3 linked regions of the Coturnix japonica genome follow. Each later gene encodes a partner of the first gene's protein in a complex. Links are inferred from orthologs where the notes say so. Each region holds a gene or a part of one and is shown on either strand. Other genes may lie near its edges.

What was found.
Region 2: the proteins of UBE2F (region 1) and DCUN1D3 are in contact, whole or in part, in a crystal structure (PDB 4GBA), measured with the Homo sapiens proteins. The link is inferred for Coturnix japonica from reciprocal best matches to the Homo sapiens genes UBE2F and DCUN1D3. Residues at the interface, in NP_001265234.1 of Homo sapiens: Leu2, Thr3, Leu4, Lys7, Leu8; in NP_775746.1 of Homo sapiens: Glu108, Glu109, Glu112, Pro122, Thr123, Glu124, Met139, Cys140, Glu194, Ile204, Ala207, Leu208.
Region 3: the proteins of UBE2F (region 1) and UBA3 are in contact, whole or in part, in a crystal structure (PDB 3FN1), measured with the Homo sapiens proteins. The link is inferred for Coturnix japonica from reciprocal best matches to the Homo sapiens genes UBE2F and UBA3. Residues at the interface, in NP_001265234.1 of Homo sapiens: Thr27, Arg28, Arg29, Val30, Asp34, Lys35, Val38, Lys39, Val41, Ala42, Glu45, Val54, His55, Phe56, Pro57, Asp58, Pro59, Asn60, Leu62; in NP_003959.3 of Homo sapiens: Ala401, Thr403, Thr405, Leu406, Glu407, Gly408, Asn410, Arg411, Thr412, Ser417, Val418, Thr419, Ser420, Ile421, Arg424, Thr425, Gln442, Glu443, Ala445, Ala447, Asp448, Val449, Thr451, Pro452, Gln453, Thr454, Leu456.

What each region holds. Positions count from the first base shown.
Region 1 is NC_029522.1:8,478,904-8,483,155, forward strand, and holds the start of UBE2F (NEDD8-conjugating enzyme UBE2F), read left to right. Parts: upstream 1-1,379; 5' UTR 1,380-1,521; intron 1,522-3,620; 5' UTR 3,621-3,636; coding exon 3,637-3,754; intron 3,755-4,252. UniProt on the Homo sapiens protein: Accepts the ubiquitin-like protein NEDD8 from the UBA3-NAE1 E1 complex and catalyzes its covalent attachment to other proteins. Together with the E3 ubiquitin ligase RNF7/RBX2, specifically neddylates cullin-5 (CUL5).
Region 2 is NC_029529.1:12,698,547-12,702,192, reverse strand, and holds part of DCUN1D3 (DCN1-like protein 3), read left to right. Parts: intron 1-637; 5' UTR 638-742; coding exon 743-1,173; intron 1,174-1,711; coding exon 1,712-2,195; 3' UTR 2,196-3,646. UniProt on the Homo sapiens protein: Contributes to the neddylation of all cullins by transferring NEDD8 from N-terminally acetylated NEDD8-conjugating E2s enzyme to different cullin C-terminal domain-RBX complexes and may play a role in the cell cycle progression by regulating the SCF ubiquitin E3 ligase complex, after UV damage.
Region 3 is NC_029527.1:12,736,913-12,740,558, reverse strand, and holds part of UBA3 (NEDD8-activating enzyme E1 catalytic subunit), read left to right. Parts: intron 1-874; coding exon 875-955; intron 956-3,482; coding exon 3,483-3,565; intron 3,566-3,646. UniProt on the Homo sapiens protein: Catalytic subunit of the dimeric UBA3-NAE1 E1 enzyme. E1 activates NEDD8 by first adenylating its C-terminal glycine residue with ATP, thereafter linking this residue to the side chain of the catalytic cysteine, yielding a NEDD8-UBA3 thioester and free AMP.

The sequences.
Region 1 (4,252 bases):
GGTTTTTCTGTTTGTTTTTGCCGGTTCACAACTCATGCCTCAAGGTTCCCAAGTCTCCTGGGCTGCCTCTTTCATGGGAATATTCAGTAGAATCAGTAATGTTTTCTTCTTTGCCTCTTTTTTTTCCTTCTCAAAAGGTAATTTTAGTTTAAGTGGTTTAGCTGCCTGTGTCTTTTGAGCAGAACTGATTTTGCTTTCTTGCAATTGTGTGCACAAGTCTCTTAAGGATCTAAAATGTCCAGACAGGCCATGTTCCTCTGTAGAAAACAAACTGACTCCTGAAAGCTATTATTAGGAATACCAGAAGGCCAACATTGGTGGGTGAGTGTGCTAAAAAAGGAAGTTAAACCACCAAAGTGCTGTATTCTCCAGCTCTTTTTCATCTGCTGTTTGGCATCCAAACAAACTTGCTTTTCCATCTCTTGTACTCTGTCTGTTGTGTGGATGGGGAAAGGATTGCAGTTCCACAGATAATGGGGATGGCCTGGAAGCTGTAGACAAACAGGAAGACAAAGAGTGTTCAAGTAGATAAAGCAGCAGTTTTATGTCAAGAAGTAATCATGCTGCAGTCATGCTAAAACACAGTTCTCAAGATAAAACCCTTAAGAAGGGGTCTGATTTTCATTTGCCCCCCAGGATAGCTTGGTTTCAGTTCTGTTAGCATTATCCGATATACTGAGTAGCACCAATGCTGAGAAAATGCCAGTAAAACACAGATCACGTCCTGAGCTCTGCCTGAACCTGCTGCTGTTCCAAGCCCGATGACTGATCTCTAATGTGTATCTGCAGCAGGGACTGTGACTTCATTTTGCAGTAGCTGGAATGTGTTTGGATATAGAGGTATCATAAGAGCACAGAAAAGCTGCATTTAGGGAAGTCACAAGGGGGTTTTAGGATACTGCCTTGTTGTATGAAGTCAGGAACAAATACAAGAACTCTTCCAACTTGCCCACTAAGGAAGAAACTGGTACTTTTTAATAAAAAAAAACAGACTTTGCTGCTTTCTTCCAACAGAGAGATGGATGTGTTAAATAAAAGCTTAAAAACAGACTAAAAAGGAACCATCAAGACTTTAGGTAGGATAGTTTAAATATAAGATGTAAAGGACGTAAGGAACCATCAAGACTTTAGGTAGGATAGTTTAAATATAAGATGTAAAGGACGTAAGGAACCATGAAGACTTTAGGTAGGATAGTTTAAGATGTTGGTTTTGTTTCTTTAGCTTTGGGAACAGTCACTGCTGGGCAATGGCGAATGATGTGTGGAGCTGCTCAGCTTTGTGCTGTGTGGAGCACAACACCAAACATGGCGGACTCTCGAGAGATGATGGGGGGGGCAGGAAGAGCCCTCGCAGCCGGTGGAGGGGAGGGGTCTCCCGCAGGCCCTGCCCACATCCCCGCCCACTTCCATAACGTCGGGCGGGCGGCTGAAGGCGGAGGAGGAGCCGCGCCGCCGCCCCTGCCCCGGGCCAGCCCCGGGATGGTGTTGGCCGCGGGAGCCGGGCCCTGACGCCGCGCTCAGGTAGGTGCGGGCCGCCCCACAACGCCTCTGGGTTTGGGTTCGGTCGCGCTTACAACGCCGGCCTACTAGGCCTCGGCACTCCGGCTGCCTGCCCCCGCCTGAGGGGAGAGAGGCCCGGTAGTACGGGCCCCTGCGTGCTGCAAACAACCCCCTCCCTGGGCTCCGTCAGCGCTGAGCTCGTCCCCTCCCCGTGCTGCTCGGCTTCTCCCTGTGCCGCATTGAAGGCAGCGAGGTGCTCAATGCCCGCTGACACTGGTTCCGTTTGGACGTGACACCCTGCAGCTCACAGGGTTTTCCTCTCTGTTTTCGTTGTTGTTTTGCTCTTAGGAGCCCGTGTCGCTGTTTTCCTGCCTCTTCTCTTTTTCTCCGTTTCGTTAAAACCAGCTGTTGCCTTTCTTTGTAGAAAAACAGGCTCTATTGTCTGCTTATTCATTTCATGCTGTCCCAGAGAAAGAAAGGGGGGAAAAAAACCCGCAACTGAGTCTGTTTCAGATGGGAAACCAGGATTTACATTTACTCCAGATTTTACTGTTTCAGTCTGGATCTGAAATGTAAGACACATACCTGTCATCACTCAGTTATCTGTTATATTCTTCTCGACCCAGAATCACAGAATAGCTTAGGTTGGAAGGGTTCCTAAAGCTCATCTGATTCCAGCCCTCTACCTTGAATACCCAGCTGTCACAGCTGTTGCTTGATTTCACCTCTTCCCTGTGTTGATGCTTTGGCGCTGATGTGCTTTGATATAAATCCCCCAGCTTTCTCACAAACCTCAAGAGCAGTCAGGCTGTTTTTGTAGGTACACCAAGCAGACTGACAGGCTGGGGAAGCTTTTTCTCCCACCTGATTTCCTTGTGGCCGGAACAAACAAAATCAGCAAAAGCTGTTGCTGTTGACCTGCTGATTTCAAGGCATGCTTAGAAAGAAAGAAGCAACAACATACATAGAGCTGGAGCTGACATAAAAGTCTTGTTTCTAGTCTTGTCATATTATGTTGTGCTTAGCTTCAGCTCAGTGGTTCTTTCACTTGACCATTTGCACTGTCAGTATCTCAACTGGTGGAAAGCTGATGTTGCATGAGTGACTGTTTCATGTCTTGGAAGTTGCTGCACTGTACCTGTCCAGTCTTCTGTTCAGACTAGCTCATGTTAAGGCCAAATGCTGATTTCTTACAAGCTTTTTACCTTTATTTTGCTCAATTAGCTTGTATGATTATAGGATAAACATTACTGTTCTACTGGTGATGAGGCCTAAATGGTATTGATCTTGTCAGCAGGACAAGGTTTTGGCCGCATTTCTAATAAGAATGAAACTTCTTATAAGAATGAGCTGCCTTAAAGTAGGAGTAGCGTTAAAATGTTCAGGCAGAGCACTTTGGTTTGAAGAATTTGGCATTCTGTCCAACTCTTGCTGTGACTGATCATCATAGTCCTCTTCTGATGTGGAGGACTGACATAGCAAAAATCTCTCTGTTTCAGTTACCAACTGTCCATGTGTAACTTTGGCTGTGCTGTGAAGGGTGCATTGTGTCACTGTTGAGCAGTTTAAATCTGTTCCCTTTGCTGGGTGCTGCTGTCTGACTCAACACACTTCCCAGTGCTGCAGAGTAGTTCCAGGAGCCCCTCCCCTCCTCTTCCTCTCTTCTTTGGCTGCCAAAAGCAGTTCTGAGTGCTGTCATGGGAGATATAGATGAGGATGGTAGGAACAGGTTGTCTGGCTGGGAACGTGGCAGTGGGATTCTTGCTGCAGTTCTTTATGAGTAGTGATGTCAGACAGCAATACACTGTGTTAGATGGTGCAGTGAGACAAGGTTGTAAACAGTGATGAAAGTCTGACCTTTTGCCAGCAAAAACTGAACTTCCTCCTCACCTGACAGGTTGCAGCTCTATCAGTATTTCCATCTGAAACAAACTCTTGTTCTTCAAACGCTACAGTTAGTCCTTGACTTTAACTGCAGTCAAGTTGTCTGTTTTCTTTGACTGCTAAGAATATGGCCAGTGCTATGTAATGTGGGTCTAACCGTCTCCTATTTGTGTACTTCCCCTTCCGTAGTGCTTTGAGTATTGGCAATTAACTCTGTTCTTATATCTGTGTTCTAGACTGAAGACAGCAGTAATGCTCACTCTGGCAAGCAAGTTGAAGCGGGATGATGGTGTCAGAGGACCCCGTGCATCCAATCCATCTTCTGATTCCACTCGGAGGGTGTCTGTTCGAGATAAATTGCTTGTTAAAGGTGAAAGGAACTTGCATTTAAATTTTGTGGTTTGTACTTTTTAGACCTGTTGGCGGTGATACAATACTAAATGTTTTATAGAATGCTTTCCAGAAGTGTGTTTGAAATTGCTTGTGGCTGACCTCATGGTTTATATGTGGAGTTTATCATAGAACTGTATTATCTTTGAATTGGAAGGAATCCATTTAGTCCAATCCCCCCTACAATGAACAGGGATGCCAACAGCTCTATCAGGTGCTCAGAGCCCCATTTAGCCTGATTCCGTATGTCTTCAGGGACGAGGCTTCCACCACCTCTTTGGGCAAACTGTTCCAGTGCCTCACCGCGCTTTCTGTAAAATATATAACGAACAAAAGAAACCCCAACAAAAAGCACAGTAACAACTTCTTCCTTAAATTCGCTCTAAATCTCCCCACTGTTAGTCTGAAACCATTCCCCCTTGTTCTGTCACATCAGACCCTGCTAAAGAGTCTGTCCCCTTCCTTCTTGCAGCCCCTG
Region 2 (3,646 bases), on another chromosome or scaffold:
CTCACTGTTAAGCTGTATAACCATGTTACAGTAACTTTGCTATTAAGTACTGATTCATTTGTGAATTGGCACTTTGCTGCCAGCCCAGCCTGACCTTTGGGTCAGTTACACAGGGAAATTGTTTTGGCCTTTAAATTTTGATTTTACCAGCTGAACTGGGGTTACTGCTACTTCTGTGTGTGCGTGCCCCTGCTCTGGGTCAGGTCATCTTGTTGCTGTCCCTCTCTTTCCCCCACCCAGTGCTTTGTTTCACCATTTTGTGCTCTGTATTTTAAATGTGAGTGCACACACACACATATTTTTTTAAATTTCCTTTAAAACATTTCTGTGTTAGAGTAGTCTGTCACGATGAAGTTTGCACATGAATCAACCTCTTTGTAACCTATGTTTCCATAAGAATTTTAGGAATTTCCTTTATTAAGACCTGTTAATATACAGCAGCAACTGAGCGAGGTGAAGCAGCCTGGAATTGCCTGAAGTTTCCAGCATACACTGACTTTCTGCACACTGTTCCTTTTCAACAGGCGAAACAGAAGTATCCTGAAGCCCATCTCCTTCCAGTGAATGTTATCCCACGTGTAGTGCTTGCAATGTTCTTTGTGGAGAAGTGCTCTTTCACTCTGAAACTGTTTTCCAGGTTGGCAGACAGCCCCCAGCGGCATGGAGCAGTGTGCTGAGGGGTGGCCGCGGGGCTGTGGCACGGCAAGGAGGCTGCTCTGAATGAAGCCAGGCTCCCTGCACCATGGGCCAGTGTGTCACCAAGTGCAAGAATCCTTCGTCTACCCTCGGCAGCAAAAACGGGGAAAGGGAAACGGGCAGCAAGTCGCATAGCAAGAGGAGTGCTGTGCACAAAGATGACCACACTTCGGCATGTGGGAAGTCCTCGGGAGATATACTCGTGAATGGGACAAAGAAAGCGGATGCTGCTGTGGAGTCTGGTCCACCTTCAGTGTTTTCTGGGGATACAAAGAAAGACTCTGTCTCCAGCGCAGAAGAATCGTCCCTCCAAAAGATTGGAGAGTTATTTAGGAGGTACAAGGATGAGCGGGAAGATGCCATACTGGAGGAAGGAATGGAACGATTTTGCAGTGACCTCTGTGTTGATCCCACTGAATTTAAAGTGCTAGTTCTGGCTTGGAAATTCCAGGCTGCTACTATGTGCAAATTTACAAGGTTAGTTCCCGTGGAGTTTTAAATATTTTTGTATGTTAAACTATCCTGTCATCTGTATCAGAGAGAGCCTCATTCACTTCACGTAGGTATTTCTTCTAACTGTTGCGCTTTGGTGCAGTTCATTCCTGCGGCTGCAGAAGGTAAGTTCAGTGTTGTCCTCTCCTCCTGCTCCCTCACGGTAGGTTTCAGAACTGAAAATGTTTCTGGACATCACGCTACTAATGATGAACAGCATGGAGACATTCTGTAGACATCAGTTTGTTCTTGGCTCACAAAACCAGCTTTTCTGTATCAGCTCTGCCTTAAGGTTAAGATTTGACACAGCAGATAACTTTTGCTGTGAGAGTCCTTAGTAATTGCTGCCAGCTCTGTTATTGTTTTGTGAAAGAGTGTAAAGCAGGCCCAACTGATGTTCGTTCCCAACTGATGTTACGCATAATGACTTCCTCCAAGACCAGTCCTGATGAAGCTTAGAGAGGTGGGAAGTGCTCGGTGCATGAGAAGTGTGCACACTAATTTTTCTTCTCTCTTGTAATAGGAAGGAGTTTTTTGAAGGCTGTAAAGCAATAAATGCGGACAGCATCGATGGCATTTGTGCACGGTTCCCCAGCCTCTTACATGAAGCCAAGCAGGAAGATAAATTCAAGGATCTCTACCGCTTCACCTTTCAGTTTGGCCTGGACTCTGAGGAAGGACAGAGGTCACTGCATCGGGAAATAGCCATTGCCCTTTGGAAATTAGTCTTCACCCAAAACAAGCCCCCCATTTTGGACCAGTGGTTGCACTTCCTAGTTGAGAACCCCTCAGGAATCAAGGGAATCTCCCGGGACACGTGGAACATGTTTCTAAATTTTACTCAGGTGATCGGACCAGACCTTAGTAACTACAGCGAAGACGAGGCCTGGCCGAGTCTCTTCGATACCTTTGTGGAGTGGGAAATGGAGCGGAGGAAAAAGGAAGAGGAAACCAAATGTATTATGTCTTCGGACACAGGGGGTCTGTGTAGGGAAGAACAGACTTAACAGCATTTAGGTGGCAGTGATGAAAGCAACCTGTTGCCCTTCGTGAGATGTAAACTCTGGATGTTTCTGGAGGTTACCGAGGCTCCAGATGTTTGTTTTTTTTCTACTTTACACCTTTTTCTGCCTTGTATTCGAAAGGGCTCTAAAATGCTGTATCATGTTTTAGGCACTTTCTTAACTTTGGTTACTCCTTTTACTCTTACCCGGAAATATTTTACCCCGGCTACAAGTTAAGCGTTTTTGTTAAGACTTGAGATTAGTATAAGTAAGTCTGATATTTCTTGCACAATGTAGATCCTTTTAGTTAGGTTAAATTAACATTGCTAAATTATACAGTGCCAGATTAAGTCTTTCATACTACGTCTGTCAGGGCAGGTCTGTACTGTGTGTAGTGCTGTTTACATTGTTGAAAATTTAGGCTGTAATGATTTTAAGGTTTTATACCAAGAATATAGCAGTGTTAACTTGAAATGCATTAATCCCCTCCTAATAAGGCTCTTAAGAAACAAACAACAGCAACAAATCCAATGACATAAGCAACAGCTTTTTGTAGTGTGGCTCGTTGCCACTTGAAGGTAACTCCTCGTGACCGAGTCCAAATCATTCCTTTTTATTTTCAGTTTCAAACTGAATGTTGGGACTGTTTTATAAAGTTACTGTACCTGTCAGTCAACTGAGTGGTAGATGAGGATTTGTATCGAAATCTCTGACACAACACAGAATAAAAGAGCAGTGCTACCTCAGTTTTATTGAAAGTGGACTTCTTGGTGGACTTCCATTTTCTCTGGAAGTTTTATTTTTGTGGTTACAGGAGAATATTTTTACTTGACTAAAAGAACCAAAGGTTCTGCTTCATAAGTTTTTTAAACATTGGCAGAAGCAACACACAAAGCCTAAGTCTTCAAGGAAAACTGCGGTATAATTCTGCTTTAATTTGTTTGATTTATACCCGAAGCATTATCTTACTTGTCTGGCAAGCACAGTACTTCTATGTGAGGAACCAAGTTTTCTAAAGCTATGCTTAATTGCTAAATTGCAGTTAATACTCCACACTTTCTGGAGCAACAATATCGGCATCTGATGACAAAGTGAATTCGTAATGTGTTCTTAATGACAACAGTGTAGATAAGTCATTTTTAGACTGATTTGATAATATTTGGATAGGAGTAAATTTATTATTTTACAATGCCTGTATTGGGACAATTTGCCTGTTGAAACTGTTGTGACTTAAAGGGAATTTTATTAACACTGGTTGAAGCTTTTTTTGGTTATTGATGTTACCTTTTTTAATTGTAATATGTCAACTTTTTTACACGTTTTGGTAAAAAGGGATAATTGCCAAGGCTTCCCGTGAAGCCCAGCATTGAACTCGTGAAGCGTTCATCACACACCTTTTGTTTTCAGAGCTGTACTTCAGGACTGTAAAGTGGCTTCAATGAAAAATCGAAAAC
Region 3 (3,646 bases), on another chromosome or scaffold:
TGAACAGTAAACCTATGTGAAGACCATGTATTTCAATTGGTGAATGTGATTATATTAGAAGAGTGTGTCATATTCTTTTCATATACTTTTATTTCTAGATTGTAAACTGTCAACTTGCTGGCATGTGTAGAAATGTATTCTATGATACACAGTAATAATTATTCTCCATCTTTGAGTTTCACATGAAAAATAGTGTTAGTCTATTGATTTTTAAACAATTAGGCACAGTAAAGAATTCCTTGTACTTAAGAAATTAAACTTAATATGAGTACTTGGAGAATTGGGATATTCCATAGGGAAAAGCAAAATTTTGCCTCTCTGAATTTTCTTCTCCTTTCATTGCTTTGGTACCTTTTGTTTCAAAGCTTAAAGTTGAATGTGTTTAACCTTTTAAATGTACCATTCCATTATATGCTACTTTGACTATAGAGTCTAATAATGTAGTTAATAGAAAAAAAACTATGTGGCCAGCAATGTTTTCTATCTGTTTATTTTGTATTATATGTAAGCAAGCTGCTTGGGGGAAAAACACTAAACTGAAATGTGTCCTTAAACTGAGTAATAATAAAATGGAGCTTGCTTTTCTTTTTTCACAGCCAAATTAATTCAAAGAGAATACTGATAGCAAACAGACTCGCTTTCCTTTAAGTAGAGATACAGGAATTACATGAACTTAACAACTGATTAAAGTCCAAGTATAATTATTCCTGCAAGCTTAAACTATGTTATTGATCTAACTTATTTTATATGAAGCTTATTGTGCACTGAAAATTTATGATGACACAATTGTAAGGTGTATGAAACAAAGGACAAATGGTACCTTTTCCTATATGATGTATTAATTGTTTGTTTGTTTGTTTTATATTTTCCACAGGCTCTTGAATTTCTTTTAAGCACGTGTAAAGTACTAGTTATTGGAGCAGGAGGGTTAGGATGTGAACTCCTGAAGAACCTGGTAATTACTCAGTTTTCATCCTTTTCTTGTGATCTTAGTTACTCCTTGAAATGAGCTTGAAGGGTGGTAGTGTAAGGTGTACTTATTTTCTTTGAGCTCTCTCAGTGTTTCTCCTGAGGAGCAGTGTGCTGCTGTGTATGAAGTGCAGGAAAATGTTTATTTACAGCCTTAGGTAGGGCCTAATATTGGGTATTTTCCCCACAGAATCACACAGAATCACAGAATGACCCGGGTTGGAGGGGACCTCAAGGATCATGTAGTTCCAACCCCCCTGCCTGGCAGGGCCACCAAACATACACGTTTACTAGATCAGGTTGCCCAGGGCCCCGTCCAACCTGGTCTTGAACACCTCCAAGGACGGGGCATCCACAACCTCCCTGGGCAGCCTGTTCCAGGGCCTAACCACTCTCCTAGTGAAGAACTTCCCCCTAACATCCAACCTAAATCTTCCCTCTTTTAACTTAAAACCATTTCCCCTAGTCCTGCTATTATCAGCCCTTTTGAAGAGTTTACTCCCCTCCTGGGAGTAAGTTCCCTTCAGGTATTGAAAGGCTGCAATGAGGTCACCCCGCAACCTTCTCTTCTCTAGGCTGAACAAACCCAACTCCCTCAGCCTTCCCCCAATTATGAGATCCTGGGAAATGAACTATACAAAGAGTGGCTAATAGAGAGTTTATCATTAGCAGCCAAAGATTAACTTAATTTTTTATGTGTTTGGATTAATGCAAAGAGAGGCTGGAAATGCTGGACCTATGATCTTTAAAAATGAAAGTAATAGAGCCAGTCTTACTGTGCCTGTGGTGACCTCCTCCTCATTGTTGGAATCCAGAGAGTAGTGGCTCTCAGTAAACATGAGCTTCTCTCCAGAGACTCAACAAGAATCTTTAGGACTCTTTCAGGATTGCATCAGTGCTGCTGAATTCAGCCTGTGTAAAAAGCTTCTTTATTCCATCAGACCAACATGCGCTATCCTATATGGAAGTGGCTAAGGAGGAATAGGTGTGAGACCAAAGAAAATACACTGCAGAGTTACTGTACTCTTCTTGACAGCAGTGCTAGCTTGTAATGGATTCTCTACAAGCTCTGAGAAGCAGTTTTTAAGTGTTTAAAAATGCAGCCATGGGATAGTGTGCTATCTGACATTTACCCAATAAGTATGTATGAGTTTAATTTTTCTATTACTCTATTTTCTTCCTCATGGCCTTTCTTATTTGTTGTAATGTATCGCTTACCATCACTTAGTTTGGACTAAGTTTCTGTAATTCACCTGCTTCCTTCAACAGTAAAAACTTCTGTCCTTACAGTTTGTTTACATGGAAAATGTGTGGTTTGATATAGCAAATTGTTACAAAGTACAGTTTCTATATGAGCAATTATGAGTTGATTCATTTTAGTATGGTTTTTATTTACTGCTATTTCACTACACTACAGATTACCTGCAAGCTTGAGGTGCTGGATAAATCATTCACCTCATGTGAAGTCAGGCATTCCAGATAAGTTAACTTAGGGTTTTGAGTTCCAGCACTTGTGAGTAATATTATTCTGGCACCGCTTTGTTACCGTTCTACTTAAGCAGGATTTTGCTTGAAGAGACTGAAAACTACATAGCAGTTTTCTTTCTTTGAAAATGTAGTGCTGGTAAACTAAACTTCTGACTAGAGCTGCTGTATTGTAGGCTTATTGGAGAAGAACAAATTCACTCTGTTGCTAATTATGAGGAAGGACTTGTGTTAAGGGTTTTCATAAATCTGCCATGTATGCCCAGTCTCCACCTTTCCAAAAGATTTTAAGTTATTGTGATTTACTTTTATAATTTTCAGAAAGAAATGCTCATACTTAAGTCTAGATGATGTTCACGTGTACTCAGTGTCTTTGAAACACCAGTAAAAATATCTTAAGGGCTCCAGTGTGTCTGTTCCTCATGTTTTGGGCCCACTCTTCTCTTTGTTAGGCTCTTCTGATCTGCTTTGATAATACTGGGCAAAAACTGAACTGTGATTTGTGAACTAAATGAGTGTTCAGCACTAAAGATACGCAATATGACATACAGAAATTCTTACTGCTTTTCTTCCAGAGGCTACTTTCTGTTCATTTGTTTAATCAGTTTCACAGTGCAGCATTTAATGCAGTTATTACACATGGGATGTAGAAAAAGCATCAAACAAGAAGTTTGAAGTTTTTTATGTGACAAGATTGAGTCTTTATAGAAAGAAAAAAAAAAGGGGGGTGGGGGGGGAGTAGAGCATGGGACTCAATTTTTTATGTCACTTCAGAACACTGCAAAGCGTTTCCCTTCTCTAAAGCCAGTGCTTTGACAACTGAAATGTTGCTAATTCCATCTGTCCAAATACCAGCGTTAGCAACCCAGCATTTCAACAAAGAGAGCTGACATGCTGATCTGCACAGGGAACAAAGAACACCTACATTTGTTCCTCCAAAGGTTGCCTTTTTGGCATTCAGAATGAATCTTGCAGCACTGTAAGCTTTTCATTGCTTATGTAGTGAGGTTGCCTATCTCTTTTCACAGGCACTGTCTGGTTTTAGGCAGATCCATGTAATTGACATGGATACTATAGATGTGTCCAACCTTAACCGACAGTTTCTGTTTCGGTAAGTGTTATTTTCATTGTTCATTCTTTGTATCTAAACAATACGTGTGAATACAATCACTATTTTGCTGGACGAAATGTC